Linked DNA regions of Mus musculus: regions 1, 3, 4 and 5 are each reported to be linked to region 2. The links are microRNA targets in miRTarBase. Many come from high-throughput screens and were not tested one by one. Region 2 holds a microRNA gene; each other region holds the end of a gene's coding sequence.

The links. The annotated mature microRNA mmu-miR-7a-5p reads UGGAAGACUAGUGAUUUUGUUGU and lies in region 2 at 2,455-2,477, shown strand. An mRNA with a match to its seed (bases 2 to 7 or 8) in the 3' UTR can be bound and repressed. Matches are read on the target gene's strand: a 7mer-m8 pairs with bases 2 to 8, a 7mer-A1 pairs with bases 2 to 7 and ends in A, and an 8mer does both.
Region 1: miRTarBase lists Ddx27 as a target of mmu-miR-7a-5p. Seed matches in the 3' UTR shown: 7mer-A1 at 2,085-2,091.
Region 3: miRTarBase lists Nipal4 as a target of mmu-miR-7a-5p. Seed matches in the 3' UTR shown: 7mer-A1 at 4,593-4,599 and 8mer at 4,104-4,111.
Region 4: the mRNA of Ptk2 is a reported target of mmu-miR-7a-5p. Seed matches in the 3' UTR shown: 7mer-m8 at 1,289-1,295.
Region 5: the mRNA of Sike1 is a reported target of mmu-miR-7a-5p. Seed matches in the 3' UTR shown: 7mer-A1 at 4,319-4,325.

Annotation. Positions count from the first base shown.
Region 1 is chr2:167,032,704-167,039,423 of GRCm38, forward strand. It overlaps Ddx27 (DEAD box helicase 27), which reads left to right. Exons shown (of 21, transcript NM_153065.3): 17 at 860-954; 18 at 1,031-1,151; 19 at 1,333-1,420; 20 at 1,770-1,841; 21 at 1,936-2,242. The coding sequence ends at 1,954. It overlaps Znfx1 (zinc finger, NFX1-type containing 1), which reads right to left. Exons shown (of 14, transcript NM_001033196.2): 14 at 3,090-6,460. The coding sequence ends at 4,022. Among named protein-coding and RNA genes, the nearest start is that of Ddx27, 21 kb to the left of the region's middle.
Region 2 is chr13:58,391,318-58,395,317 of GRCm38, reverse strand. It overlaps Mir7-1 (microRNA 7-1), which reads left to right and starts at 2,432; the gene lies at 2,432-2,539. Hnrnpk (heterogeneous nuclear ribonucleoprotein K) reads left to right here. Exons shown (of 16, transcript NM_025279.3): 9 at 25-153; 10 at 533-840; 11 at 954-1,008; 12 at 1,159-1,242; 13 at 1,450-1,465; 14 at 1,544-1,626; 15 at 1,953-2,122; 16 at 2,902-4,000. The coding sequence ends at 2,932.
Region 3 is chr11:46,144,282-46,150,638 of GRCm38, forward strand. Nipal4 (NIPA-like domain containing 4) reads right to left here. Exons shown (of 6, transcript NM_172524.3): 6 at 3,874-6,357. The coding sequence ends at 5,865. It overlaps Adam19 (a disintegrin and metallopeptidase domain 19 (meltrin beta)), which reads left to right. Exons shown (of 23, transcript NM_009616.4): 23 at 1-3,066. Among named protein-coding and RNA genes, the nearest start is that of Gm35624, 19 kb to the right of the region's middle.
Region 4 is chr15:73,199,939-73,206,587 of GRCm38, reverse strand. Ptk2 (PTK2 protein tyrosine kinase 2) reads left to right here. Exons shown (of 35, transcript NM_001358046.1): 35 at 328-1,483. The coding sequence ends at 540. Among named protein-coding and RNA genes, the nearest start is that of Ago2, 18 kb to the right of the region's middle.
Region 5 is chr3:102,999,832-103,006,551 of GRCm38, reverse strand. It overlaps Sike1 (suppressor of IKBKE 1), which reads right to left. Exons shown (of 5, transcript NM_025679.3): 5 at 2,638-4,844. The coding sequence ends at 4,743. Among named protein-coding and RNA genes, the nearest start is that of Sike1, 7.5 kb to the right of the region's middle.

The sequences.
Region 1 (6,720 bases), not on the chromosome of region 2:
TTCTAGGTGCCTGTGTTCACCTTTATCTTCATACTATGGTGGCAGAGGTGGGTGGATCTCTGTGAGTTCCAGGTAAGCCAGGGGTACATAGACCCTGTGTCAAGGAGCCAGTTTTTTAAAAAGTTGGTTCTAGGTATCAAATTCAAGTCCTCAGCTCTTTTAAAACTTTGTATGTTTATTTTATCATAGTTTTTTGTTTTTTGTTTATTTGGTTTTTTTTTTTTCCCAGACAGGGTTTGTCTGTGTAGCCCTGGCTGTCCTGGAACTCACTTTATAGACCAGGCTGGGCTGGAACTCAGAAATCCGCCTGCCTCTGTCTCCCGAGTGCTGGGATCAAAGGCGTGCGCCACCACTGCCCGGCTTTTTATCATAGTTTTATTGTGTTAGTATACTTGGCACTCTCTCTCCCTCTCTCTCTCTCTTTCTCTCTCTCTCTCTCTCTCTCTCTCTCTCTCTCTCTCTCTCTCTCTCATCACACACACACACACACACACACACACACACACACACACCACCTGTCCCTTCCCCACCACCCTCACCTTTGGTGCTGAGTGTCTTTCCAGCAAGCTCCTTCCTGACTTGAAGTCTCTTTTCAAGGCTGCTGCATTTAGTGAAGTCTCTGACATGAGCATGAGTGGGATGATTCTCTTGAACAGGGTCACCTTGCCAGTGGCTGCACCACTGAAAACCTCAATTCCCCTTCTCCCAGCAACCATTAAGGGAGCAGTCCTGCCCAGGCCCTCAGTCTTCCCTGAAGGGTACTTTACTCAGTGAGCTGTCACCTCTAGTTCCTTCTCATTTTAAGCTTTAATGACATAATCAAATAGCCCCTAAATTCCACACTCTGTCCTCACTCTAGTTGCTAAGGCTCTACAGGAGTTTGACTTGGCCTTAAGAGGAAAGAAGAAAAGGAAGAAGTTTATGAAGGATGCCAAGAAAAAGGGGGAGATGACGGTGAGTGGCCTCCCTGTGGAGTAGGGTCCCATGAAGCACTGGTGTGTTCTGTGCTCATCCCTCACTCTGCCCCCAGGCAGAGGAGAGGTCCCAGTTTGAAATCCTCAAGGCACAGATGTTTGCAGAGCGGCTGGCCAAGAGGAATCGCAGAACCAAGCGAGCACGGGCAATGCCTGAGGACGAGCCTACAGGCCCTGGTAAGTGATAGGGTGTCCATTCTGAGGCTCGCACCATGGCAAGAGCTGGCAGGGATGGCAGTGATCAAGCTTTGGAGGAACTGGGATGTATCCTTGAACCTGGCCCTCCATGGATTCTGGAATTCTCTCCCTCAGTGTCAGGGAACTCAGTAGCCTCTGACCCATTTTTCTCTGTGTATAGCTAAAAAGCAGAAGCAGCAGCAGAAGTCTGTGTTTGATGAAGAACTCACCAACACAAGCAAGAAGGCCCTGAAACAGTATCGGGCTGGGTAGGTTTAAAGTGCCGCTCACACGAAAGCACCCTTGTCCATGCTCGCTCACTCTGCCTCTTGCCTAGCGCTTCCCAATGCTGTAATGATGAGCAGAGCAGAACTTAGTGTGCTTCCATAAGCCCCCTCATCCAGACAACTTCAAAAAGCCTCTGCCCACTGATGTGAAATTGGTGTCTGGCTTCCAGAACTGCACATTGTTCTGCACAAGCCCACAGGAGACTGAATCCCAGGCACTGCACTCCCCTCAGGGTACCCATCCCACCTGGGCTGGCCTGTGAAGCCAATATGGGTGACATCCCTCACGTGTCCCACAGCCTACCCATCTCATTCTTCATCTGTCTTACAGCCCTTCCTTTGAAGAGAGGAAACAGTCAGGTCTGCCCCGCCAGAGGAGAGGGAACTTCAAATCTAAGTCCAGGTGATGTTGCACTGTAGAGGGCAGAGGCAGTACCCATGGGCGGAGAGGCAGGCTGGGTGGGAGGCAGTACTTATAATATTGATTTCCTTAATAGGTACAAGAGAAAGAAGTAGTCTCAGTGGTGTGAAGAAGTTGGTGGGACAATTTTATATCCCTTCCCTGTGGGAAGTCATCTTGTCTTGGTCTGGTTTTTTTCCATATATAAAACCCCAAACCTGGGGCTGGAGAGATGGCTCAGACTGCTCTTCCAGAGGTCCTGAGTTCAATTCTCAGCGACCACATGGTGGCTTATAACCATCTATAATGGGATCCGATGCCCTCTTCTAATGGGTCTGAAGACAGCTACAGTGTACTCACATACATAAAATAAATAAAATCTTTAAGAACAGCAGACCTTCTTGAACAAGCCTGTTGTCTGTGAATCTGTTGGGTTAGTATCTAGGAGCTGTTTCTTAGTGTTAGTCATTTATGCATGCATGCCTTTTTAAAAATGTGAGCATCTCACTGTGTAGCACAGGCTAGCTTGGAGCCTGCTGTTAAGGCCTCCAATTTGTGGTACTGTAGAGATTGTTGGGGTTACAGGTACGCACTGCTGTGCCAGGGTTCCCTTCCTGACTGGCTTCCCTACACATATTAAATGCAAGTAGTCTATCTGGTGAGTTTAGACTGCCTTACCTCCGTTTGCAAAGGGCCTGTTCTCCAGCTGCATGCCCTGCTCACAGCTGCCAGCTCAGGGCTCTGTGTTAAGTCAAAGCTCACCTGCTGCTGGGCTGTGGGTCAGACCTGGCTCTGCCTTTGGTGGGAAGATCTCCATGTTAAAAGATGGGGCCGGTGAGAAGTCTTAGTCAACAAAGGCAAGACTGACCGGGGCTCCATCTTGGGGACCCAGGCAGTGGAAGGAGAAACGCAGCCCCTCCCTAGTGTCCTGACACCAATGCCCACCGCATGGTCAAGCACAGTGAATGTGCTAGGAACAGCAAGCAGTGTAGTCTCGGGACTCAGGAGACATTTGCTGTACTTAGAGAATGTTACCATGGGTAAAATTTGGCTCATCAGTTAAATGACCTCCACTACCAAAAATGACATGCCTCACCATAGGCTGTGCCCTACCCACAATTGCTAATCAAAGTTAGGAAGAGAAACAAACCATGGGTCTAGGATGGTGATGGTTGTTGGACACAGCTGAAACCTTAGGTGCATCAGTTATCAATACAGCAACAAAGCAAGCACAGATAAGAGATGACAGGCTTTTTTCAATCATTGTTTTTATTAATTGGCTTTATAGGTTAAAGTGCATAGTAAAGACAAAAAAAGGAAATGCATACAATAAGAAAGGGGCTTTCCTAGACAACATTAGAAAGGACCTGAGATGCCTAAATCTGTTCTAAGGAACATGGAAAGAGATGCAGATGCAGGCAGTAGGCCTGGAGTCGGGGCCTGCAGAAGCTGCTGGCATGCTAACCCTACCCAGGCAAAGGCTGCAAGGGAGGGTGCCTGGATAAAGACTCACAGGAGGTGCTGCTGACACTGAACCTGCTGACACCACCACCACCACAGAACCTCTCCTGCAGAGAGACACATCCACCCCTGCTATCTGAGTGCAAGTTTGACGAGGGTGCAGGGGTCACTCAGCTTGTGTCTGCTGTGAAAGCCCCGCCCCACTGGGGACAGTGAGTATATAACTGGGCCATGGAGAGTTGAAGTGCCTGTCACAGGCCTCCATCTCCAGGAGGGCAGGAGCCCAAGGAGTAGGGTGCCTGGGTTCTTGTGCTCCTTGAAGGTAAAGTGGTTCCTAAAGCTCTCTCTGGGTTGCTGTTATTACAATGGTAGTATGCAAGTTAGGGCCTGGACATGAGAAGCAGTGCACCCTGGGCACGCGCAGAAGTGCTGGCCATGCCAGGACCCAATCACCCTAATATCCCCGGGTGGAGGCCGGAAGCTCCCAGGAGTCAGTCCTACTTGCTACAGTCGAGGAGCTGAGAACTGTGGGCTCTGCTCAGTGCTGGGGGTAAAGTGCTTACTCTAGCGCAGGGTACATATAGAATCACATGTGGGCAAGCCCTAAAAGTGGATCCTTAGACAAGTGCGAAGACTAAAGGACACTAATAAACTGGTTCCTCCATGGAGGAGCCAACCCTGGCTCTGAGGTGGCAGGGCAAAAGGCCTTGAGGTGCCATCTTCTACATCATCCTGTGGATCTCCTCAAAGTTCATGAAGTTGTTGGCTGTGTTCGACCAGGCAGGGTGCTGGGCTCCATCCATCTCAGAGGCCAGGTGGTTGCTCCTCTCTAGAGTGTGATTCTCCCCACCGATCACCTCCTGACACTCGGGACAGGTACTCCTTTGCATGGCGCCCCCACACTCAGTAATTACATAGATGTGGCCATTGGGGCACTTGAACCAATGCCCACGAGGAACACCCATGGCAGTGACAATCTGCACTCGTTCCTCATCTGAGATGCCCAAGCCAGAGCAGGGAAGGGTGGTTTTCAGAGCATCCATCTTTTTCTGCACAAGCTGTTCATCTTCCTGGGTGAACTTACTTGTCTTTTCAAGAATGTTCCGGATGCTGGAGACCTCTTCTGCTATGCTGCCTTTCACCTTCTCGGCCATCTTGCAGCGCATCAGGAGGTTCACCAAATAGGTGAGCCTCTGGATTTCACTCTGGAGGTCACTCAGTTCCTGGCTGCTGAAGCTCAGGCGCTTCTTGGCCAGCCACTCGTGGACCTGCTCAAGTCGAGTCCTCACGCTCTGCTGTTCTCCACAATGCACCTTCTCCAGTGACCCCTCCAGGTTGGCCAAGTGGTCATAGAAGCGGATAGAATTCTCCACCAGGCCCAGGTCCTTCACTGACAGGTTTTTCTGGGCCAGCTTCTCTTGAAGTATTAGGAATTCTTCAGGACGCAGCTGATGGAAGAGGGTCTTGCTCTTCAGCAGGGCCTTAAGTTGTTCCTGGCTGGTTGAAATCTCCCCTGCAGAGCCCTGGATCTTCTCCTTGACAATCTCGATCTCTTCCAGCCGCTGTTTGATGCTGGTTCCATACCTCAGGTTTTTGCGGATGGGTACCTGACAGATGGGGCAGACTTTCAACTTGATGGCAACTTCATCATCCTTCTGCTCATTCATGAAGCGGTCCAAGGCTTGCACTTCAAAGATGTGGCTGCAGTCTTCTAGCTGCACAAAGCGGGCATCAGGCTCATCCTCAAAGCCAAAAAAGATTTGGGTGACTTCATCTGGTTGGCAGACACGGCACTTCTTGGGACATGGCTCCCCACACAGACCGATGCAAGGGTGGCCACAAGCCAGCAGCTTGGTACAAGGCACGTAGCATGGGGGCCGGTTGCAGGGCTCTGAGCAGAGTTTGGTGCACTGGTAGTGCTGGCAGCGCCAGACGCAGGGCTCCACGCAGGGGCTGCACAGCTCCCCACACTTCTTCTTGCACTGGCTGTGGACACAGCGGTTCTGACATGTTCGCTGGCAGGGTGGGCACTCACCAGTGCAGGGCTCCTGGCACTTGTGTGAGCAGATGAGCAGGCGCTTACATGGCTGTTGACAGCGCTCATGGAAGCGCCCTTCAAAACAGCTGTGACAGGAGCCTGGGCAGGGATGGCCGCAATCTAGAGTAGTGTCACACTTGGTGGTACACTTGACTGGCAGACCATATTTTATATCTTCCACATTGCCACACTTAACCAGTTGACTGTGCCCACATTTAAGTTCCACGGTGACCCTTTCTGAACACAGCCGCACACAATCCTCACCACAGAGATGGCTGCATCTGTGACCACATCTTAGTATCTTGGAGCAAGGCTCCTGGCAACAAAACTCTGACTCTGACATTGAACAAGGGACCATCTGTTTGTGACCACACTTCAGAATGATTTTGGGCACTTTCACCTGACAAGGCTGACACTCTTGGAAGCAGACATTTGGGCACCGGTGCCCATCCTGGCAGAGGACTTTCTGGCATGGCTTCATGCACTGGAACTCCTTGTGGGAGGAGTCATATGGATGGCAGGCACGTGTGCACACATGACCACAGGCCAACCGGAACTCACAGGGCCGGCTGCAGCCTCCTTCCGGTACTTTCTGGAAGTCAGAAGCTTTGGATACAAGGGTGTGGGTCTCAGGGTGGTTCTGGCAACAGAGGCGGAGGGACGGGCCTATCTGGTTGTTCTCTCGAAGGGTATGGATGATCCTGCTCCACAAGGGCACCTTGGCAAGCATCTGCATGTTCCCAATGCAGTACATCCCCTTCTTGGCCCGGGACAAGGCTACGCAGATGCGGTTGGGGATCTGCAGGAAGCCCACCTTGCCCTCTTGGTTGCTCCGCACCAGTGAGAGGAGAATGATGTCATTCTCTTCCCCTTGGTACTTGTCCACCACATGGACCTTGATGCCAGCAAACGTCTTGACAGGCATGAGTTTGCGCAAACAGAAGAGCTGCCCAGTGTAGGTGGTGAGGATGGTGATCTGGGAGGGCAGGTACTCCTGGCACAGGAGGTACTGGCACAGCTCCACCACAAAGTGTGCCTCATGCTGGTTCTGGTGACTTTTGCCTTCTTGGATCTCCTGCTCAGGAAAGTTGTGCTCCACAAAGAAAAGGTTGGAGGAGACACCCTGGAAAATAAGGAGGCAGGCAGCACATCAGCACTGGGGCTGGAACCGGAGCCTCACCCGTGCTGTGCACGTGCGGGACCTCTGCGCTACACCCCAGCTCTCTGCACGTCATCTCTGGACACTGACCACTGAGCCACAGGAAGAGTCTTTGTGCTTTCTGTGCCCTCCATCTCCAGATCTTTACCTCTGAAGCAGTCATGTGCCGTGGCACTGAGCTGGAAACTAATTAACCTATTTTTGTTTTCCAAGTATTCAATCAC
Region 2 (4,000 bases):
TTTTCTCTTTTGTAAATGTTATAGAACACTCAGACAACAATCAAGCTTTTCCAGGAGTGCTGCCCTCACTCTACTGACAGAGTTGTTCTTATTGGAGGAAAACCTGATAGGGTTGTAGAATGCATCAAGATCATCCTTGACCTTATATCTGAGGTATCTTTGGGATATTTTTATTTCATTCAGTTTCATCTAACTACCAGAAATAAGACAGTATTCACACCATTAATTTTGACATCTCCCTGCAAGTTTTTTATTGCCTCCTTTAATATAGTGCCTTTGGTCCTTACTCAAAGGTCCCTGTAGTGCCATGTTACCCACTTCTTACAGAGATATCTGGGGTAATGATCCTTCTGTCTCTGACCCACATCCACCTCCCCGCCCCCCGGTCAGTATGTTAGAAATCCTTTCCATCATTGCTTCATTGTGTCCCTGCCTCTGTTACCTTTTGAGTTAATAATGGTTGAGATGGGTTAATTGATAGGACCAGAGCTATTTTTCTTCAGGCTTTAAGGTGCTGTGTTTCTGTTTTTAGTCTCCCATCAAAGGACGTGCACAACCTTATGATCCCAACTTTTATGATGAGACCTATGATTATGGTGGTTTTACAATGATGTTTGATGACCGCCGAGGACGACCTGTGGGATTCCCCATGAGGGGAAGAGGTGGTTTTGACAGAATGCCTCCTGGTCGGGGTGGGCGTCCCATGCCTCCTTCTAGAAGAGATTATGATGATATGAGCCCTCGTCGAGGACCTCCACCACCACCACCTGGTCGAGGTGGCCGGGGTGGCAGCAGAGCCCGGAATCTGCCTCTTCCTCCTCCACCACCACCCAGAGGGGGGTAAGTTTTTATCCAAACATTAACATTAATAAAAGAGGCTGCACTTAGCAGTGTGTGTGTGTGGGGGGGTGATTTTAATGTGACCATGTAAACATTGCAACATGTGCTTGCAGAGATCTAATGGCTTATGACAGAAGAGGAAGGCCTGGAGACCGCTATGATGGCATGGTAAGAATTTTGATTTATAAGGGCGGCATGTGTGTTTTCAGAGACCTTATAACCAAACATTTGTGTGAGACTGTAGTACTAAGAGCTTTTTTAAAATTGAAATTATTTTCACAGCCCTCTAAAAGTTTGGTATTTATGTATGTAATACAGGTTGGGTTCAGTGCTGATGAAACTTGGGATTCTGCAATTGACACATGGAGCCCATCAGAATGGCAAATGGCTTATGAACCACAGGTTGAGTATCAATAATGTTAATAATGTACATATTGGTAATTTACCTTGACTGTCCATAATAATTGGTCTCCCCTCCCTACCCCTGTAATTTCTTGATTCAGTTTATTTCCTGGATAAACTGGGTATGGGTGGTATGGGAGGACTTTGCTTTTCTAAGCTCTGTGATATTTTAGAAATATTAAGTAATTTTTTTTCTTTTGTTTTTAGGGTGGTTCTGGATATGGTAAGTTTCTTCTTTTTGAAATCAAACATTATTTCAATCTTATTTTTATGTGAACTTGCTGCTCATTATTTAAATCAGACTATTCTTATGCAGGGGGCCGTGGCTCATATGGTGATCTTGGCGGACCTATTATCACTACACAAGTAACTATTCCCAAAGATGTAAGTATTTTTAATTTAGAGTATTTTTAATTCGGGGAATTTACTTACTTGTATTGGTTGCTGCTTCTTGGACAAAGACTTCCAGTTTAGGATTGAGATAATGTTTAAGAACTTAATGGAGGGGGTATTTTGAACCTTAGATCAAATGATACTTAGTGACAAAAAGAAGACAGTTTGGGGTTCTTAAAATACACATATGTAAAATTTATTTCAGGAATTTAAGACTGACGTTCTAAATAAATTACTATAAAGTTATTACATTTTGTCATTGATAAAAGGGAGTAAAATTTCTTTCAAGTCATCATAAACACTTACAATCTTTTCAGTTGGCTGGATCTATTATTGGCAAAGGTGGTCAGCGGATTAAACAAATTCGTCATGAATCTGGAGCATCAATCAAAATTGATGAACCTTTAGAAGGATCTGAAGATCGGATCATTACCATTACAGGAACACAGGACCAGATACAGAACGCACAGTATTTGCTGCAGAACAGGTCAGTTGACCCTTAGCTTTATGTTAGTGTACACATACTAAAACCTTTAAAAAGCTTTTCTTCCCAATTGATTCTTCTTTTAGAAACCATGGTGTTTCCGTCACTTGGGGAATCTAACTTCTAAATATTCTAATTAATAGCTCTGCCTTAATTTTCTTCTGTTTTCTTACTAAAATGAAGACATTCAATACTAATCTTGCTGGAAGAAGCCTTAACCAAGCAAACTTCTCATTTCTCTGGTGAAAACTGCTGCCAAAACCACCACTTGTAATAATTTATACAGAGCCTGTAGAAAATGTAGAAGAGACATTGGATGTTGGCCTAGTTCTGTGTGGAAGACTAGTGATTTTGTTGTTTTTAGATAACTAAAACGACAACAAATCACAGTCTGCCATATGGCACAGGCCACCTCTACAGGACAGATAATGATGGTGCTGTCAAACGCAGCATTTCACACCTTCCTCATGTTCCTTTGTCTTTCCTACCAAGTATTAACAGCTTCCAGTTTCATTTTCTTAACCCTGCACTACTACTGTCTATTAACATTTTCTTGAGTTTTACATTGCTTTAATTTATAGTTGCTATTGCTCTTTAAAAGTTCTTCTAATTGTAATGGACATGTTTATCATTTTAATTTATCATTGAAATTGTCTTAATGTTGATTAAGATGTTTTGAACAAAAATTCTAATTCGTACTTTTTTTTTCTTTTCTTTTATAGTGTGAAGCAGTATGCAGATGTTGAAGGATTCTAATGCAAGATATTTTTTCTTTTTTATAGTGTGAAGCAGTATTCTGGAAAGTTTTTCTAAGACTAGTGAAGAACTGAAGGAGTCCTGCATCTTTTTTTTTTTATCTGCTTCTGTTTAAAAAGCCAACATTCCTCTGCTTCATAGGTGTTCTGCATTTGAGGTGTAGTGAAATCTTTGCTGTTCACCAGATGTAATGTTTTAGTTCCTTACAAACAGGGTTGGGGGGAGGGCATGCAAAAACTAACATTGAAATTTTGAAACAGCAGCAGAGTGAGTGACTTTTATTTTTTGTTCATTGTTGGTGGTTTTAAAAAAAATTCCCCCCATGTAATTATTGTGAACACCTTACTTTGTGGTCACTGTAACATTGGGGGGTGGGACAGGGAGGAAAGTAATAGTCCACATGTCCCTGGCATTTGTTCAGAGCAGTGTGCAGAATGTAATGCTCTTTTGTAAGAAACGTTTTATGATTTTTAAAATAAATTTAGTGAATCTATTTTTGGTGGTCTTTTTTTTTTTTAAGACAATTTCAAATGGTGGTTGAATTTTCCAGCCCACCCCTAAACTAAACACTAAGTTTGATTTTCAGCAGCTCCTCTGTTGGATATAAGTGCACCTCTTGGACATAGACAAAATACATTGGCAAACTCAGTTTGGGTGACTTCTTAATGGTTGGAAAGACTTGGCTTGATAAATTTCCATCACATATTCATGCTTATAATAAGCTTGGGATTTTGTTTGTTTTTGCAAATGTTTGCCACTACTTTTCAACAGTTTTCTGTTAGTTGTGGAGAACTGCGGTGGGGAGCAATACTACAAGAGTTACGCATCTTAAGTATATGCCAGAAGCCTGATGGGCAATGAGCTTTATTAACCAGAGTAAACTTGGTTATGGAAGTGGCTGATGCTGAATAAATCCTGGTTATTTTTGTTAGATAATTTCTCACCTATAGACTTAAAGCTGTCAACCTGCTAGTGTCTTGTTAGTTGAACTTTGTAAAAATATATATATATACTTGTTTTTCCATTGTATGCACAATGAAAGAAAAAAGATGTACCATTTCTCTGTTGTGTGTTGAATTATGTAGGAAATGTTTGTGAACGATTCGAAAAAAATGGAAAAAGTTC
Region 3 (6,357 bases), not on the chromosome of region 2:
GCTACATCCCTACCCCAAGGGGCTTGGTCAAGGTGCCTGTTCCTGGCTCTCTGGCTGCATGTGATAAGCCATGCTCCCCTCCCCTGCCTTTCTTCACATTCCCACTCCCATATTTACACGGGTCACTCTGACTCAGACAGGTACTATTTGTAAGTAGCATAGACAGCAGGGGGGTGGGGTGGTCAACCTGTGTCCCCTCTGAGCCGTTATGCCAAAGGTCACTAAGGACATTTAGAATCCCCATCCATCCATCCATCCATCCATCCATCCATCCATTCATCCATCCCCAGTGTTCCATGTGTCACCTTCTCCTTTTCCAGCATCCCTATCCTATGGTGCTTTGGTGGTGAACTATGGCAGTCCTGACTTGCTGATGACCATATGCTGGTGACCTACAAATCGGGATCCTGCCATATGGGGTCGCCACTGGACTTTCTGCACTGGATCTCAAGAGCGTTGAGCCGAGTGGGCGTGTATGTGTGTGTGTGTGTGTGTGTGTGTGTGTGTGTGTGTGTGTGTGTGTGTGTGAAAGAGACAGAGGCAATGAGAGAGACAGACATGCAGGCAGGCCGACAGCTCTGCATGTACTTGTGTTTTACGGCCTCAAGCAGAATAAGGGACCTCCTCCTTATTTCTGACTCATATCTAAGTAAGGTTCCCCAGGACAGCCACAGTTGTACTGAGGGGGGCTGACATGTTTGGCATCCTGGCTATAGTATTGTATACACAGGGCCACCAGCCCCGCCCTAGTGGTCAGCTCTGAGGGGGGACTGGTGACTCTGAACAGATCGATGTCAACAGCCATGGTGAACCAGATCTGGGCAGGGTTCCCCAAACTCTATTCAACCAGAGTTTTATCACGCACCTCATCGGGTCTCTCCTGGTTGCTGCCCCGAGGTGATCGTCATGGAAAATGCTGAGAAGGTGGGAATGGGATGGGGTGGACCTTCTCTTGCTTGGTGCTCCGCTATTTGGAACAGTTCTTACACATTTGCTGGGCCTGGCCTCTGAGAGGCCATCTTCCACCCCCAGAAAGGTGCTAATGGCACTGCAGAGGGCTCTCTAGGGGCCTCCCCGCCCCAACAGCAAGCAGTTGTTAGCTCTTGGAACCCTCCAGAGGAAGAGGCAAGCGTTTGACTTCCCCTTTACCACCTGAGGCCTCCTTATATCTCTTCCCAGAGTAAGCTTTGGGATTGTAGACATGTGGGAGCTATGACAGACGTGGCCTGGGGTAGAAAGATCTCAGGAAAGCACCTTTCTCCTTTTCAGGGTGACCGTGCTCTTCACACTCTCTGAGGCCTCAGTCCATGTCCTATATCAGTTTCTCTTTTGTGTGCTTTACCAAGTGGCCGGTGACTACAGGCCACCCCGATTCTCACCACAAAGTTAGAAACCCTCCACTTTCTGTCCCTTGAACCATATCAGAAAAAGACCCATTTCCTTGCTCTTTGGTAATCACTTCTGTTTTTTTCTTTTTCATTACTTTGCTACCACCTCCATCCCATGACATTATACTGTGAAGTGTAAGAGGACGGGGTTTTTTTAAACTTGGTAGAAATGTCGGCAGCTGCTCTACACACAACTTCACTCAAGGCTTTGTTTCCAGAGGCCAGCTAGGCTGTCACAGGCAGGAATCCCTTCCCATCTGCTTTGTGAAGGGTCCCATACAGGTGTATCTAGACTTCAAGGACAGGGTTTGTCTCACAGGATTGTCACTTAGGAGATGAAAGAATATTACCACATGAGGAGGAGGGGCAGTTGCAACAGAACACTTTGGTCTTCCTACACCAAGTCTGTGAGGGCATCCAAGACTGAATGAAAGCGCTTTTCTTATGCATACAATGTGAGCAAGAACAAGAACTGTTTAAGGCACCTCTGTTCCCAGCCACTGAAGAGAGACGTCAGAAGATGTTAGAATAGGTCAAAGCCAAGGCTCTGGTGGGCTGAGGGAAGGTTTGTAGCTGCGTTTAGTGGTATACATCTTTAGTCCCAGCATAGGCAGGTGAATCTCGAGTTTGAAGCTAGCCTGGTCTAAAAAGGAAGTTCCAAGACTGCCAGGGCCACACAGAGGAAAAAAAAAACCCTCTAGAAAAACAAAAATGAAGACAGGATCTCATGTATCGTAGATTGGCCTTTAAGTCACTTTACCAAGGATGATCTTTGAACTCCTGAGTACAGACTGCGGGTGTGTGCTACCATGCTTTATGTGGCCCTGGGTTCAAACACAGCCCTTCATATGTATATAGCCAAACACTCTACAACTGAGCTACATCCTCCAGCCTAGGCTGTAAATGTTTTTTGGAGCTAGATTAGCTGCCTGCCAACCTTAGAACTGCAAAGCCATTCCTGACCTGTAAACCTCAGCTCTCCATCTCTATAAGAGGTATAGCCTGGGCTAATACCGTCCAAGTTACAACTCCTTGCTTGCTTTCTGTTCCTTCTAGCCTTGGTGACTTCCACCAGGAAGAGAATACCCCCTCTCTACCCCTGCTCCAAGACACTGTAGATGCTAGTGTCGGAGTGTTCTCTGTAACGCGACAGTTCCTTCTGTTGCAATAGCCCCCCTGCAACACTGCAATAATCCTTCAGTGTCTCCCCTGGGCTCAATTCACTTCCTTATTTGACAAAGTGGAGGTGAGACTTGTATTCTTAAAATTGGAGGCTAGTTATTTTGTCAAATGCATGTAATGAACAGACCCGAAGGAATCCTCCACACACAAGCCAGGGAACACCAACTGGAAAGGTACCCCGTCCCAGGGAAGCCTGCTAGGGAGAGGTTCTGTAGAATCCGAGCCTAGCACCCCAAAGTCATGCACCCAGTATCCTCTTGTATGACTGTATATGTCTATGTCTGGGATCCAGGGCAAATGTGAATTTTCTTTTGATTTGGGAGATTGTTCACAGGAAGTAGTCCTCCCCTCTCATGTCCTCCTATTGATTGTTTACAATATTTGTACATCTATGCAAAATACTTGAATGGGCCATGGTGCCTTGTTTTTTGTTGTTGTTGTTATTTTTTTCTCCTTGTTTGTATTTAATTAAAACAAATTGTCATGAGGAAATGTTCTCTGTTTGGATGGCTCTTTTGTGTGTGAACTGTTTCGGTAATCCCACTGCCAGGACCACTTAAGACATGTGATGTGAACGTCTCAGAGGACTCATACAGACCAACAGCCTTCCAGTCGGCCATGACCTGTGCCACAGTGATGCCCCGGGGTTTCCCATGGCCAGTAGTCAGGGCTGCCTGCTTTGTACCTGTGCTCAAGATAGTCTGGTTTCATTAAATCTTGGATTACCAAAGGCTTTCATAATCTTTTAGATTCTAGAACATTCTTCTACACTATTAACTTTAGAAGACAGCTGAGATACTCTGTGACCAACTCTCTTCACTAGGGGGTGTGCTTTAATGAAGAGGAGAGACTTAGTGTGGGTCCCGGGCTGAGTGGGTAGGTGCAGGGAGGCCAGCTTGTGTGCACTTAAGATTTCCCAGGTCTGTGTGGAGACTGCTGGTCTCTCACCAACTTTTACCCATTTCCTCCCAGCCTCTGTTTTGAGGTTTTCTAAGATTATTAATAACCACAGGAGTTTTACTGTGTAGGTCTGAATGAAAATGGCCCCCATAGAATCATAAGGAGAGGCATTAATGGAGGTGTGGCCTTGTTGGAGTGGATGTGGCCTTGTTAGAGCAAGTGTGTCACTGGGGGCGGGCTTTAAGGTTTCAGAAGCTCAAGCCAGACTCAGTGTCTCTTCCTGATGCTTGGGGGTCCAGATGTAGAACCCTGAGATACCTCTCTAGCACCAGGCCTGCCTGTGTGCTGCCATGCTTCCCTCCATGACGATAATAGAGTAGACCTCTGAACTGTAAGCCAGCTCCAATGAAATGTTTTCCTTTATAAAAGTTGCCATGGTCATGGTGTCTCTTCACAGCAATAAAACCCTAAGATAGTCATCTCATTGAACCCTCATGTAAATGCTAAGAAAGCATCATCCTTCGTATTTCATATGCTTTTTGCCATATGCCTGGCTCCTAGTAAGGTCATCACCTCTACATGAATGGTACTAAGAAATACAGCAACCTTCCCTGTTTGAGTGAGGGCAGATCTTGGAAGACACAGGAGGGCTTTGCTTTGGAGATCAGGGACTGGCATCCCAGTATGTGAGAGGAACCAGTGGAGTGAATTTGCTCCGTGTACATGGAAGGTCAGGACATTTGTCAAGTAAACACACCCTGAAGTCTTTATTACTGACCCCAGAGCCCACGTTCTCAGAACCTTCAGTTTACTAACCCCCCCCCCAAGATCCAGTGTGTTGCATTGATTTCAGTCACAGTCAGAAATCCACATTCATGAAAATACTGGGGATTGGGAAGGTATAGGGCCCAGAGTGTTGATCTGCCCTAAGAGCTTGTCCAAGGCCAGAAACAGTTTGACCTGGGTGTGGTTGTACTTAGGGGATCAGATTCGAACACAGGATCGTATTTTGACAGTGCTACGTACACTGAAGATCAAGTTTCCCCTTCCCCACAAACTGGCTCCTAACTTCACTCTCTTATGCTCCTTGTGTCAAGTCTACACTTTCACAGCTGTAAGAACTGGAAGAAAAGGCTCTCTCTCTCTCTCTCTCTCTCTCTCTCTCTCTCTCTCTCTCTCTCTCTCTCTCTCCAGCTGCTATTCTCTGACTGCTTCTGGCCAAATGTAAGGTCACCAAAAGTGACCCTAAGAGCAGGTGATGGTGGAGGACTCATGGCATGCTGTTTCCAGTGTGGGCAGCTAGGTTGTCAATGGAGATAAACTCAGTTCCAGTTGGGCCAACAAGGCTGTGTCAAGCCTGCACTCCCATTTGATTATTGGGATTCTAATCCAATTCCACTAGATACAGCTAGGAAATTTCCCCAGAGGTCTGGTCCTTGCTCGAATCTGAGTCAGGCCAAACATTATGTCCAGGTTTCCATAGAGCCCATGACTCCATTCAGACAACCATGACATTGTGTCTTATACTCTCCCCCTCTTCCCCAAGTCATATCATAGTCAATTTCTTGATGCAAAGAAATTGCATTCTGCTAAATTCCAGCATGACAGCACAGTGCTGTTCTCTTCCCAGAGGCTGCTAGGTGAACATGGGTTTGAACAGCGGAGCTGGACTAGGAGGCATCCCCTGCTGTTGGTTCTAAGGCTACAGCCTACACGTGTCAGTGACTGGTATCTTGGGATGGGCAGAGAGGGAAGGATAGTAGTGCCTGCCACTGGAGGCACAGACAACAAGATGTGACCTCAAGTGCTTGGAGAATGGGCCAGTTGAAACTTCCCTGAGACATCAGGTGGTATTCACAGTAAGAAGGTCAGCTGGGGTCTTGCTTCTGTCTACAAGAAACACCAGGCTACTTAGTATGTGCTACACACCTTGGCATGACGAGGCATGCAGATTGCTCTGCACTCCCCCACAAGCTCCATTCCCGGGCTAAGGACTGAGAAGTCCAGCCTGACAGGCTAATTGGTGTGAAGGAGTTCCCGATGACCGATAGCTGAGGGAAGTTCTTGAGCTGGGCTACATTCAGCAGGTCAAATTCTACCAACAACATGGTGGTGTTGAGGGACCCAGAGGGGAGAGGCTCTGGGGACTTGCTGGTTCTAACAGAGACTTGTGGATTTAGTCACCAAGGCTGTATCTCCAGGAAGTCCTGCCCCTACCTTACTGGGTAGGGATTTTTCTTCTTCGTCTAGGAACAGCAGTGAGGTATAAATGAATATCTCAAAAAAAGAAACTAGCCCTTGGCAACAGATGTGCTGAAAGTAACCAGGTAGTTGTGAACTTGAGAGGTCAGGCTGGACCATTGGCTGCCTCCTCTTACTCATGCATTCCAGGCTTTAAGAATCGGTCATAAATACTTTGGGCTTCTGTTGGGGTGATGGTGTGCTGGCAAGTTCTATGTTATCTACAAGGACATTCTTGTCTTCTAGTTTAATGACTGTGGGCTCTGGGGCGGGAGCTGGAGTTGGGTTTTTGTGCGTGTGGGGCAAGCTGATTTGGTTGATGTCCAAATCCTTGAAAGCGTGAAGCATAAAAACACCCAGGATGATGGTGACGAAGCCAGACAGGGTGCCCACAATGTCCACAGCAGACATGGTATACCACTCCTTGAAGAGGACGATGGAGGAGGCCACCACCACCGTGGTGAAGAAAACGTAGTAGATGGGGAAGACCAATGAGGTGTTGAAAATATCCAGTGCCCTGTTGAGGAAGTTGACCTGGATGATGATAGAAAGACCCAGGATGAGGGACAGGATGTAAGGGAGAGGGTGCCGCACAACTGGTAAGCCCTGGAAGAAGTTCCTAATGGTGACACCAAGCCCCTTGACG
Region 4 (6,649 bases), not on the chromosome of region 2:
TCCAAAGGGGACAAACAGACAGATTGCACATCCTGTTGAAATCGGTCCTTTTATCCCCTCACTGTGTAATTCTGTCTGGACTAGAAGTTGTTGTATGTTGTATAGACCAAGCTGACCAGGAACTCACAGAGATCTACCTGCCTCTGCCTTTGGAGTGCTGGGATTAAAGGCATTGTCCACCATGCCCAACTTATCCTGTTACTTCTAAGGAAAGTTTCTTCCAGGGAAATTTTTTTTCTTTTTTTCTTTTTTGTCTTGGTGGCTCAAAGACAGACTCAGAACCAGTGCCTGGGAGCCGTTCTTCTGACCTCTCTCTTGTCTTTCCAGATCGAGATGGCACAGAAGCTGCTGAACTCCGACTTAGGCGAGCTCATCAGCAAGATGAAGCTGGCGCAGCAGTACGTCATGACCAGCCTGCAGCAGGAGTATAAGAAGCAGATGCTGACAGCTGCTCACGCCCTGGCTGTGGATGCCAAGAACCTACTTGATGTTATTGATCAAGCAAGACTGAAAATGCTAGGGCAGACACGGCCACACTGAGCCCCTGGCCATTGAACGTGGCTTTCTGCCCTTTGGGAGATCTTCTCTAGCATTCCACCAGCAGCGAGGAAGTAACCTTAGCCTCTGTAGCCCGTGCTCACGGCTCCAACTGAATGACAGCTAGCTGAAAGTCTCTCTTGTATAAGTTTCATCACTTATACATGGTTTTGATTTTGTTATTTTTCTAAATAGTGTTCAGAAAACTCTGGATCCAAAATGTGGCATTTTTCTGAGAATGAAGATTATACATTAAGAAGCTTTTAAAATATACTTGGTGTTCAAATTGGGATGTGTGTTCCTAGAAGTGGTAATTCATACTGACCATGACTTCAAGTTGGAAGAGAAATGTCTGAGGAGGGAGGGTTCCCTGAGACCATGGAGACTGGTTATCCTTCCTGCCAGAATTCCTATCCAGACTGTGTTGCAATATGCTAATCTCATTTATAGAGAAAGTGCATAAAAGCTATATTTTGAAGAATGAGTGGTTTCAAAAGAAAACTTCTGCCCTCCCTGTCTCCGCCTTCTCTCCTGTGGATACTGAAGCATTGGGTTGCGAACTATCTGTAGAACTGACAAAAACTTGCCTTTCCTCATCAGAATTCTGTGCCAGTTTTGTACCAGAGCACTCCCAACTGCATCAAGAAATTCCAGGACCAGCCCTGTTCTCCATTTTTATATAATTTATAAGAATAATTAAAGCCATGTTGACTCTTACAGCCACTGGAGCTAACTGACCTTCATTGCGTCTGTCTTCCCAGGGAGGACCCCGCAGGACAAACAGGGATGTGGTTTTCTTTAGATGTCCAGTTGGTATACCATGCATTCTGTTAGGTGATTTTGAGAGCATACCTTCCCTTTAGTTTGTTGGGGGATATAAATTATTCTCAGGAAGAATATAATAAATTGTACAGTTCCTCTGACCTATTAAAAAGGTGGCGCCGGGAAAGGTTGCATTGCCTTTTTTTTTTTTTTTTTTCTTTAATGGGGGAGGAAATTCTTTTCTTTCAAATCATTTAAAATTGTTCAGGGGATCTGTAAGAAATGGTCACTTACAGGAGTGCTCACAACTCACCAGTCTCTTCCTTTTTCTTGTATAAAGTGGAGGACTCCACCAGAGATAATCGCTCTGCATACCCTGACTTTCCATTCTGTCAGGGTCTTAGATGTTCCTTGCTTGATTTTATTTTATTTTTTAAGGAGGTTTGTTTTTTGTGTATTTTTGTTGGGAGAGGGTTGTTTGTTTGTTTGTTTGTTTTTATTTTTGTTTTTGTTTTCCCTGAGATATTGTCTCACTATATAGCTCTAGCTGTCCTGGAACTGACTCTGTAGACCAGGCTGGCCTTAAACTCATAGAGAACCACCTGCTTCTGCCTCCCAAATGTTGGATTCAAGATCCGCACACTATGCCTGGCTTGGTTTGTTTTGTAGAAATTTATTATTACCCTTTGGTTCGTGTGTGTGTGTGTGTGTGTGTGTGTGTGTGTGTGTGTGTGTGAGAGAGAGAGAGAGAGAGAGAGAGAGAGAAAGAGAGAGAGAGAGAGAAAGAGAGAGGGAGGGAGGGAGGAGGGAGAGAGATGCTCATACAGAATCAACTTTTAGGACTCCGTTCTCTCCATCTACTAAGGCATCTACTAAGGTTTCCAAGGATTGAACTCGGGTAAGGCTGTGTACCAAGTGCTTTTACCTGCTGTACTAACTCACCAGCTCCAGTTTGGTCTTTTGAGACAAGGTTTCACTTTGTACCCCAGGCTAGCCTAGAACTCATGACAATCCTCATGCTAAGCCTCTCCAGTGTATAAGTAATAGGCATGAGTCACTATGTCTTGCTTTTATTCTGTCTCGATTCAAAAATGTAGACAGAGGAGCCCCTAGCACTTGGAAAGCAGAAGCAAGCAGATCACTGAGTTCAAGACCATCCTGGTCTACATAGGAAGTTCTAGGCCAACCAATGCTATATAATTGGACCTTGTCTAGAAAATTAAGTTGGGGTGGGGGGTGACCAGCTTGTCTAGTGAAGTCATGATTCTTTTTTTCTTTTTTTTTTTTTTAGAATTGTTTATTTTATGTATGTGAGTACACTGTAGCTGTCTTCAGACACACCAGAAGAGGGCATCAGATTCCATTACAGATGGTTGTGAGCCACCATGTGATTGCTGGGATTTGAACTCAGGACCTTCGCAAGAGCAGTCGGTGCTCTTAACCACTGAGCCATCTCTCCAGCCTGAAGTCATGATTCTTAGAGGATAACCTAAAACTGCCACTTTATTAAATGAATATAGTCTCTATTCTAAGCATTTTCCCAGATATATAGATTAATCCTTACCCTTCATCAAGGAAATTTCTCTATGCGACAATAGACAGAGACCATCACACACACACACACACCTGATCAAAGTGCAGAGTTGGGGCAGGGAGGATAGTCCCAACAGATAAATATAATAGAAGCCCTGCATGAAAGGCTCAGACTCAGATCACTACAGAAGAGGGTGCAGAAAGACTGAGAGCCAGAGCAGGGATTTCTCGTGGGGTTGTGTCTCCTAGGGATGTCAGAGAAGCTACACACATGAAGTCACTAACATGGCTACCTGAGCAAGGATGGCATCAGTGGACTTACCAACATGGATAGAGGGAAGACCACAAGGCCTCAACTCTAAACAGAGAATTTCAGGTAACCAAGGAATGCTGAGAGCAGGAGAAATAGTCCTGCAAGGAGAAAATATTCCTGCAAGTTAACTTAAAAACTGAACATGCCAGGCAGTGGTGGCACACACCTTTAATCCCAGCACTTGGGAGGCAGAGGCAGGCGGATTTCTGAGTTCGAGACCAGCCTGGTCTACAGAGTGAGTTCCAGGACAGCCAAGGCTATACAGAGAAACCCTGTCTCAAAAAACAAAAACAAAAAAACTGAACGCCTGCACGTGTTATACTTGTATATTTAAGTATAGACACACACGCATGCACGCACGCACACACACAGTCAGCCATTAAGGAAAAGCCATAAATTTGAGAAAGAATTCCCTTTGGATGTCTTCAGTATCTGATAATAGTCTGTCTATCCAGACTAGGAAGCTGTCTGTACATGCATCACTTTAAGGGAATTGCTAGGCTTTTCCTGATCTGAGCCACAAAGCCAGACCAAACAAAACTGGGCCTGGGAAAAGGCAGCTAGTGACACAGCCCCGGGGAGTGTGGAGCAAATGCTCAGGAAAACATGGAACTCCCAAGAGCAAACCCTTGTTCCTTTCTGGACATATGGCATTTAGGTCATCTGGAAAACGGACTAGGAATTGCCAGTCTTTTGCTCTGTTACTTCTGCGGAGTCCATTCTTTAAGACATCAATCATGAGCTAGGGGTGAGTCTCCATAGGGATGTTTATATAGCATGCATAAAAGAGGGTGTCCTTCACTTCATCCCTCAGAGGCTAGACTCTGTCCTTCTGACCTTCAATGCTCTAGATGCTGCCACATAAGCCAAGGAAACAAGAGTTGAGCTGAGCTCTCGGGCTGCAGCAGGGTGAGGGTTCACCACATTTAGCACCTTTGCCTCATTCCAACTTCCACTGCTCCCTTGATTTTCTTCTAACAGTCACAGGTGAGTATCAAACCATATACCCTGAAGAGAGACACCTTGGCTGTGAGATCCGGGAGGCAGGTGACTGGCCAGAGGACAGATGTGGAACAAGGAGCTGGCAGTGCCCTGCGGAAGCCCCTCAAAACCCTCACCAAATGGTTCTGGATTCTGAGCTGTATGGACAGGTGGAAAGTTCATCCGACCCTCAAGTCTTCAGATGAGTCTCCCTGATCCCGCCTGCCTGCCTGCCTGCCAAGACAGCAGCGACCTATGAAGGCAAACCACTTGCCTTGCCACCCAGTCAAGAGAAAGGAAAGCTCAAGTTGGCGAGCTTTCTAATTTGTATTCTGGACTTCACTGCCTTCCTGAATGGTGGCTGTGTTGTTTTGTTTGCTGACTTGTTCTTATGCAATGAGGGTTTTCCCCTTCTTTTTCTTAGCCTTCATTAGCACTTTTTAACCTTCAGAGTGGTGAAGCTTACAGATGTGAGCTAACCATACCTAGCTATAGGGCATTCCTTCTCCCCCCCTCCTACTCCTCCTCACCCACCTCCTTCTACACCTCCTCTCCCCCCTCCTCTTCTTCCTCTTTCTCCCCCTGCCTACTCTTTGTCCCCCTCCTCCTCTTTTTCTTCTTCTTCCTTTGATATAACAAAATAAAATATAAAATAAAACGAAAAACTATCACATCTGAGTTGTAGAAGATAAACCAGCAGCCCAAGAGAAGGCACAAGAATCAGACCCACTCATTTGCACACTCAGGAATTCCATAAAAACCACTAATCTGGAAGCCATAATGTATACATAGAAGACCTGACACAGACACGTACAGGCCCAGTGCATGCTACCTCAGTCTCTCTGAGCTCATATGAGCTTCACTTACGTTGATGAGGCCTTGTTTTCTTGGTTATCTTCCATTCCCTCTGGCTCTTATACTCTCATCTCCTTTCATTGAGTTTCCTGAGTCCTGAGGGGAAGGATTTGATGGAACACTTGACTCTAAATGAGATTGTTTTGAAGGTCTCACTCCCCAGTGTCTGTCTCTGGGTCTCCATTTTTGTTCCCATCTGCTGCAGGAGAAAGCTCTAATGATGGCTGAGCAAGAAAGGCACTTGTATCTGAGTATAGCTGTGTCACTATGACTCATTTCATTGCTTTGTGTTTTGTTTTAGAACACTAGTAGTTGGTTTTATCCTAGGTCTCTGAGCTATCTGGTCACAGGTTCTTGGCTACCCAAGCAGTGTTGAGTATGGTTCCATGTTAAGTGGGCCTTAAGTCAAATTAGATATTGGTTAGTAACTCCCACAAGCTTTGTGCCACCATTGCCCTAGCATGTCTTGTGATCACAGAGTTTATGGCTGACTTGGTGATTACGTTTTTCTTTTGGTGGTATGCAGAGTACCAGAAACACTAGAACGGGGTAAAGGCTCTATGTAGACACCAACTTGACTTCTCTATGTTCAATGAGGTGTCTAGGTGTTGTCATCAACACCTTGCTGGCAGTTTGTAGAGAGCAACCTATAGTCTTAGCAATAGCCTGAATTGTTTGGAAATTCCCATGGTAGCCCTTTAGCCAGCAACTCAATTGGATATAAGCAGTCCCAGTACTGGAAGCTTCATTTGGTGGCCAGTTGGGGCTCTGTCTCCCCCATTTTTTGGCAATTTCATTTAGATCATCTTTGTGTATGTATATGTGTTAGGAATCTTATACTGTACTAGGTTTCCATACTATCCTTCAAATGGCCTCAATTTATGTATATTTCCACCTGTGTTCCTCCTCATGTCCATCTCCTCTCCTGCTACCCACTTGATCCTCCTATTCCAGCCTCCCACCAATCCATCCATCCATCCATCCATCCATTTATCCATTCATCCATCCATCCATTCATCCATCCATCCATCCATCCATCCATTTATCCATAACTATTATATTTCTCTGTCCTAATGAGATCTACTTGTCCCCTTAGTTCCTTACTCTATACCTAACTTCTGTGGTTCTATAGATTGTATCTTAGTTATTATTGAACAGCTAATATTTACATATAAGTGAATACATACCATATTTATTTGGGTCTGCGTTATCTCAGGATTTTTTTTTCTAGTTCCATCCGTTTGCCAGCAAATTTTATGATGTTATTTTTTAATGGCTAAGTAATATTGCATTTTGTAAATGTACCACATTTTTTACCCATTCTTCTATTAAGGAATATTTAGGTTGTTTCCAATTTTTTGCTTTTATGAATAGAGCAATAATGATTATAGTTGAGCAAGTGTCTTGTGAGGTAGGATGAAGCATCCTTTGGGAATATGCCCAAGAGTGGTATAGCTGGATCATGAGGTAGATCAATTCTCATTTTGAGAAACCACCACACTGATTTCCATAGTGGCTATACAAGTTTGCACTCCTACCAGGAATGGATAAATGTTCCCCATATTCCACATCTTTGCCACCATGAGTTGTCACTTGTTTGCTTGCCTGCCTGCTTTTTTTTTTTTTTTTTTTTTTTTTCTGAGACAGGCCTTCTCTGTATAGTCCTTG
Region 5 (6,720 bases), not on the chromosome of region 2:
ATTTTAAAAAAATGAGCACCACTGCCTTCACCGTAGACCAGGCTAGAACTCAGAGATCGGTGGGCCTCTGCCTCTCTCCTGCTGGGATTAAAGCATGCCTTTTTGTTTGTTTGTTTTTGAGGCAGGGTCTCACTATATGACCCTAACTGTTCTGGGACTCAATATGTAGATCAGGCTCATCTCTGAACTCATAGAAATCTATCTGCTGCTAACTCCAGCCAGAGTGCTGGGATTAAAAGTGGGCTAAGTGGCCTGCCTAGTACTGGTAATATTTGGGTTTTGCTTTTGTGGTGCCTGAGGTTTGAGCCAGGGCTTTGTGTATGCTAGGCAGGTGTTTTCCCCACACTGGTAATAACTGAGTTCTTAAATTAGGTAATGAATGCATGATAATGTGCCTGCATTGCCATCTTATCCCTTTTTTTTGGGGGGGGGGTTGTTTTGTTTTATTTGGTTTTTTTGAGACAGGGTTTCTCTGTGTATCCCTGGCTGTTCTGGAACTCACTCTGTAGACCAGGCTGGCCTCGACTCAGAAATCCGCCTGCCTCTACCTCCTGAGTGCTGGGATTAAAGGCGTGTGCCACCACACCCAGCGCATCTTATCCTTTTATAAATGCCCAATATTACATAAAAATTTAAGTGCAAAAATAAGCACTGATAACATTTATATGTGCATGGTTGTTTAGAAATTTGTTCCTGATCAGATTTCTTAGATATAGGCAACTCAGGCTAATTTCAACAAAAATGGTTTTATTAATTTCATTAAAAATATTTCTCAGGATCTCTTGGGCAGCCAGGAAATGAGACTTAAGAGGTTTGCGTCTAATGCTATAAGGATGTTTGCAGCAAGTCTCCAGTCTCCACTGCATACACTGGGTCTTCCACAGCTGCCTGCTAGCACTCCAGACCTGCTCTGCTGCTCTTCTATGGAGCCAAACCCAGCAGCAGCCTGTGTTGCTGGTCCCCAGGTTCAGAGGTTTCTGTGTGGCTCCCAGCTTTGCCATATCACTAACTTTGAAATTCAAAGCAGCTGAATCTTTCCTCGATGCCAAGGTGGCTGGGAAACTGGGTAACTGGTACTTCCAGATTCTTTAGGAAAGAGGGAGGCTCTGCCACGTTAGGCAGGGAAACTTTACCCAGGCATGGGTAGGACATTGAGCAGTCAGTAAAGAAATAACAGTGTCCACTACAGCTCATTTTCTTAGTGACTCAACGTAGGCATCCCTGCAGCTAATAATTTTAATTTGTTAAAAATTATATTTACGGTAAAATGCCTTACTGTAACAATCAGGCCTTACTGTTTTCTCAGTATGATTTCTCTTTGCTAAGAGGATACTGATTTTATTTGGCACGGCTGTGTACCTAGCTTCCTTTGCAATTAGACATGTCTATTTAATAAGTGAGGCAGATATGGAGAGAACTCCATTAGAATTTCTGGAAACGTTTGCTTTCCCCATGTGTCTGTAGTGTAGGGCAGGCAGTTTTCTATTTTTTCCCTGTCTTCCACATGGGCATGACATCTGACACAGCAGTAGCCTATAACAAGATAACAGCATCACAGACGGAGCCAACGTGGAAAAAGGCACCCTGTGCAGAAATGCACCCTTCCCTCCACACTGAGGACCACTCACAGGCACAGCATTCTAGGGACCATGCAGCAGCGTGAACTAAACAGAAGTCACGGTATTCACAACACACAGGCCATAGTGTCTCTCTTACCCTGTTAATTAACCTGTTGACTGACTTTGCCGATCAAGATCCATGAACTCCACAGTTATGTGCATTTAAAGGTGCCTTAACTTGGTCCTTAAGAAATGTGCTGAAGAGTGCCTGAGTGTGATTCTTGGCTCCACTTTGGACAAATTAGAACCTTCTAGTATGTATGGAACTGTAAAGAACTGAAGCGGGGATGCTGTGTCAGCTGACACAGAAAACCCCTTAGTATAAGGAAGTAACCATTGCAGGACCCCCTGGACTTCGATTCTGCAGCTGTTTTCTATGTTTTCTCCTAGCACCACCCCTCCCCCACCCCCTTCCCTGGTCAACTTTTAGATTCTCAAATAACACAGCCCTTTCTGTGCTGTATCCTACACTTACATCTGATGTAACACACTGCATCAAAATTATCTGCACAACATTTTGTTTAGTTTTTTGAGACAGGGTCTCTTGTAGCCCAGGCTGGTTTTGAATTTACTATGTAGCCAAGAATGACCTTGGATTTCTGCTCTTCCTGCTTCTGCTCCAAATTCTGGGATTACAGGCATGTGCCACCATGCCCAATTTATCTGCTGCTATCGGGCAGGCAGCATAGAGGGGAATAGCGCTGCTATATCCCACCCCTCTGTAATATCCCTTTACCACTCTTCTCATTTTAAAGTCGGTTTGTTTTTAACTCCTAGTGAAATAATTTGCACAGAACATCATACACAATTTATCTGTTTGTGTGTTGTAGGTCAGAAGGTAATTTTTAGAAGTTGGTTCTCTCCTTCCCTCATGTGGGTTCTGAGGAATTGAACTCAGGCCATCTGACTTCATGGTAAGCACTTAGACCTGCTGAGCCATCTCCTAGCCCTAACAGACATGTTCTTAAACCGGTACTGCCGTTTTCTGGAATGATTATTAAGATGTAAATTCCAGATTCCATCCATAAATTTCTATTTCATTAGGTGCATTTTAAGAAACATGGAAATAGACTTCAGTGGTAAATTATACATTCAGGACTTCTGCAATGAATAGGTTGTTAATGTGCTTTTCAAAGGTTTATACTGCTGAATATATTGAATAATTGCAAGCTGCTTATGACATCTATGTCATGAACACTTGCCATGGTTGCTATGTATGTGAATATGTGAAAAAAATCTCCTATACTTCTTTTTGCTTTTTTCAAGACAGGGTCTCCCTGTGTAGTCTCCTGGGACTCACTAGGTAAACCTGCATGTCCTCGAATTCAAGAGATGTGCCTCTGCCTTCCAAGTGCTGGGATTGCAGGTGTACATCGCCACTGCTCAGCTAAACTTCCTTTTTTTTTCCAGCTCAACTTCTTAGACTCATTTCTCAGTAAAATGAGCAAATCTTCTCAAAAAGGTTTTTATTAGTTAATATAATTTCATACTAAAATTTTATACACTAAATACTTCCACCCATTGCAAGAGATATTAGCATCTTCACACAAGTGTGAAACATTCTTTCTCCATTCAATGTGCTAGCTCTGCAATGCCTTCACAGCACTAACACCAGGCAGAATTTATACGACACAGGGCACCGAAAGCTTGCTCTACCCTCAGGACTGCAATGGAGAGATTCCTCTGAAAGCTAGATGCAAAGACCTTTGTAGTGAGTGCTACGGGAACAGAAGGCAGATAAAGAAAGGGACACCATGCTCACTGCTGAAATAGACTGACTGATAATGCTCTCACTGTGATGGGACCTGCTGTGACAGCTGACAAGTGGTAAAGGAACCCACCCCTGAATGGGTTTGTGGAGTACACACTTGGGGCCCTTAGGGGAAACATCAAGGGGAGCAGCTGGAGTGAAAGTTAACATGGGAACAAAAACCAAAGTCCATCTGGGCAAACAGTGCAAAAGGAATTATTTATAAACCTGACATATGAGCAAACCAAGATGAGAAGGAACTGACAGGGAGCTATTAGAATCTCAGGTTGTTCTTGATTGCCTGAATGCATGGCATCAGGAATGTGGTAACTTTCTGTGAGTAATAAAATGCTTCCATGAGAAAACCCAGCAGATGGAAAGACAGCAAAGTACTGATGCCGGTCTAAACCATCCCAGTGGTGCTGCTCTGCACAGCACAGCACAGCACAGCTGTGTGTCCATGAAAGTGCCTAGGAGCTAGGAACCTGTGAGTGAGGTATGTGTGTGTGTGTGTGTGTGTGTGTGTGTGTGTGTGTGTATGTGTATGTCTCATACAAGGCAACTACCTAAGCCGAAGACTCCTTAGGCAGACAGAATGGAAAACTACTTGGTCAAATAAATAAAAGCTATTTTTGGCATTTAAGTCCAATGTACATGTACAGTCATGTACATCTAATAGCTCCCTGTGCATGATGGGGCAGGCCCAAGTTCCTCAGCACTCTCTGAATGACTGTGGATCCTTGAGGAGGAGGAGGAGCAACGCGAACCCGGCTTACTTGTTTTCAAGCGTATTTCCTGGGGACTAATAGATTCTCTCAAATTAAGAGCAAAGACACCTGACCACAAAGTGCCAACTCCTAGCACCGGAGAGGATCAAACCCCATGGATGAGCGACGTCACTCAGAGACTCTGCCAATCTGCTTCTTTGAAGTCATGCTACTTTTACAAGTGGAAGAAAAAAAAAATCTAGGTTTACACCAAATATGTATTTTTAAAAAGTTAAATCTTTGAAAAACTCTTAGAAGGAATTTTTATAATCCTATATAAAATAAAATCCTGGCTTATAATAAAAGTGTTCAGTGTTTCCAAGCTGTGAAAAACAACATTGAACTGCAGGTAACAGTTTATAGAGATTCCGGACTAGAGTGACAAATGTCATCTCTGTCCCAGCAATGGGGGACTTGTCTAGTTTCACTAGTACACCCCAAACTAGTTAGTGGACAATGAATACCAAGTGGCAATTCTAAACTGCCACCCCATACCTCTACCCAACACTAAGTCAAGTCTGCGGCAGGACTCTTGGACACGGCAGGAGAGGAGGGCACGGCTTCTCGCTCTGACGGGCAAGCTGTAGCCAGCCTTCGGAAGTCCAGTTACTTGATGGTCTGAGAGGCAGGAGCCACAGAGCTTTCTTTTCCAACCTGCAGAGATTCACTGCTGATGGACAGTAACTCTCGAAGTTCCTTATTTTCAAGCTGGGGAGAAAAGATATTTCCTGTGTTTTAATTGTTAAACTATGTCAGAACATACTATTTTGGCCCAGAAAGAGGAAAAAAAAATTTTTTTTTGGCTTTTCTTTTTTAAGATTTATTTATTATTATACATAAGTACACTGTAGCTGTCTTCAGATGTGCCAGAAGAGGGCATCAGATCTCATTATGGGTGGTTGTGAGCCACCATGTGGTTGCTGGAATTTGAACTCAGGACCTTCGGAAGAGCGGTCAAGTGCTCCTATCTGCTGAGCCATCTCACCAGCCCTTTTTTTGGTTTTTCGAGACAGGGTTTCTCTGTATAGCCCTGGCTGTCCTGGAACTCACTCTGTAGACCAGGTTGGCCTTGAACTCAGAAATCCACCTGCCTCTGCCTTTCAAGTGCTGGGATTAAAGGTGTGCGTCACCATTGCTCGCTTAAAAAATTGTTTTTTAAAGACAAAGTCCTACTGAGTGGAGTTTGCTGGCCTAGAAATTGATATGCAGATCACACTGACCTTAAACAGATACCTGCCTGACCTTGCCTCCAGATTACTAGAGGTATGCTCTGCCACACCTGGACTTTAAACGATTAAGCCTTTTCATTTTAGATTTATTTCAATATCTTATGTGTATGAATGTTTTACCTCCATGGATGTCTGTGCATCATGTGCATAGCTGGTACCCTGGAAGGTCAGAAGAGGGCACTGTTGGTCTGGGACTAGAGTTACATAGGTCGTGAGTCACCACCATATGGGTGCTAGGAATCAAACCAGATCCTCTGTAAGAGCTACAAGGGCTTTTAACCACTAAGCCATCTCTCTGTCCCTAATTTAATTACTAATTTTGATAATTGACACCTATCACTTTCTTTTTTAGCTAAGGATAGGCTACACTCTATCCTTATCCTTTTTGTAGAAAATTATTGTCTATTTTGAGATAGGGTCTTATGTAGTAGGTGAGGTGAGGCCTGGCTTGGAACTCCTGACCCTTCTGTTTCTAAGTCCTGGAATTACAGGTGTGTGTTGCCATGTCCAGATCTTTACGGACACCAAGATAAACTACAGCATTTCCAGCTTCACCAAGAGGTTGAACAAATCCTCTACCATATAAACGGCTTCTCAGTTCTCTTGATTTATTTTTTACTTATGTGTATGTATTGTTTTGCATGCACTTATGTACGAGCACCATCTGAGTGCCTAGTGCCCTTGGAGGCCAGAAGAGGGCATCAGATCCCCTGGAACTGGAGTTACAGATGGTTGTGAGCCACAATGTGGCTGCTGGGAACTGGGTCCTCTGCAAGAGTTGTACGTACTCTTAACTTCTGAGCTATCTCTTCAGTCATAGTATTCTTAATCTTTCTTCTAGCACTTATATACCATTCTGTACTCTGTCCTTCCTTCATTAGATATGAGCAGGGACCTTATCTTTTTCTTTTGGAATTTCTCAAAGGGCCCACTATAGGACCTGAAATAACCAGTCAAATCTTCAAACCACCCATTGAAGTGTCTTCTCTGCATATTTTTACACTCATACACATATAATTACATTTTAAAAAAACCCATGATTTTACTTGTTATCCACCCTCCCCCCCCCTTGCAATAAGGTTTCTCTGTGCAGCCCTGGCTGTCCTGAAACTCATTCTGTAGACCAGGCTGGCCGCAAACTCAGAGATCCTCTGCCTTCCAACTCACATGTTATTTTATACATGTGAGTGTGTGTGTGTGTGTGTATGTATGTATGTATGTATGTATGTATATGTAGATGTATGGTACATGCATGCCTAGTATTCCTTCAGGTCAGAACAATGTCAGATGACCTAGAACTGGAGTTAGGGATGATTGTGAGTGACCATGTAAGTGTTGGAAACTAAACTCGGGTC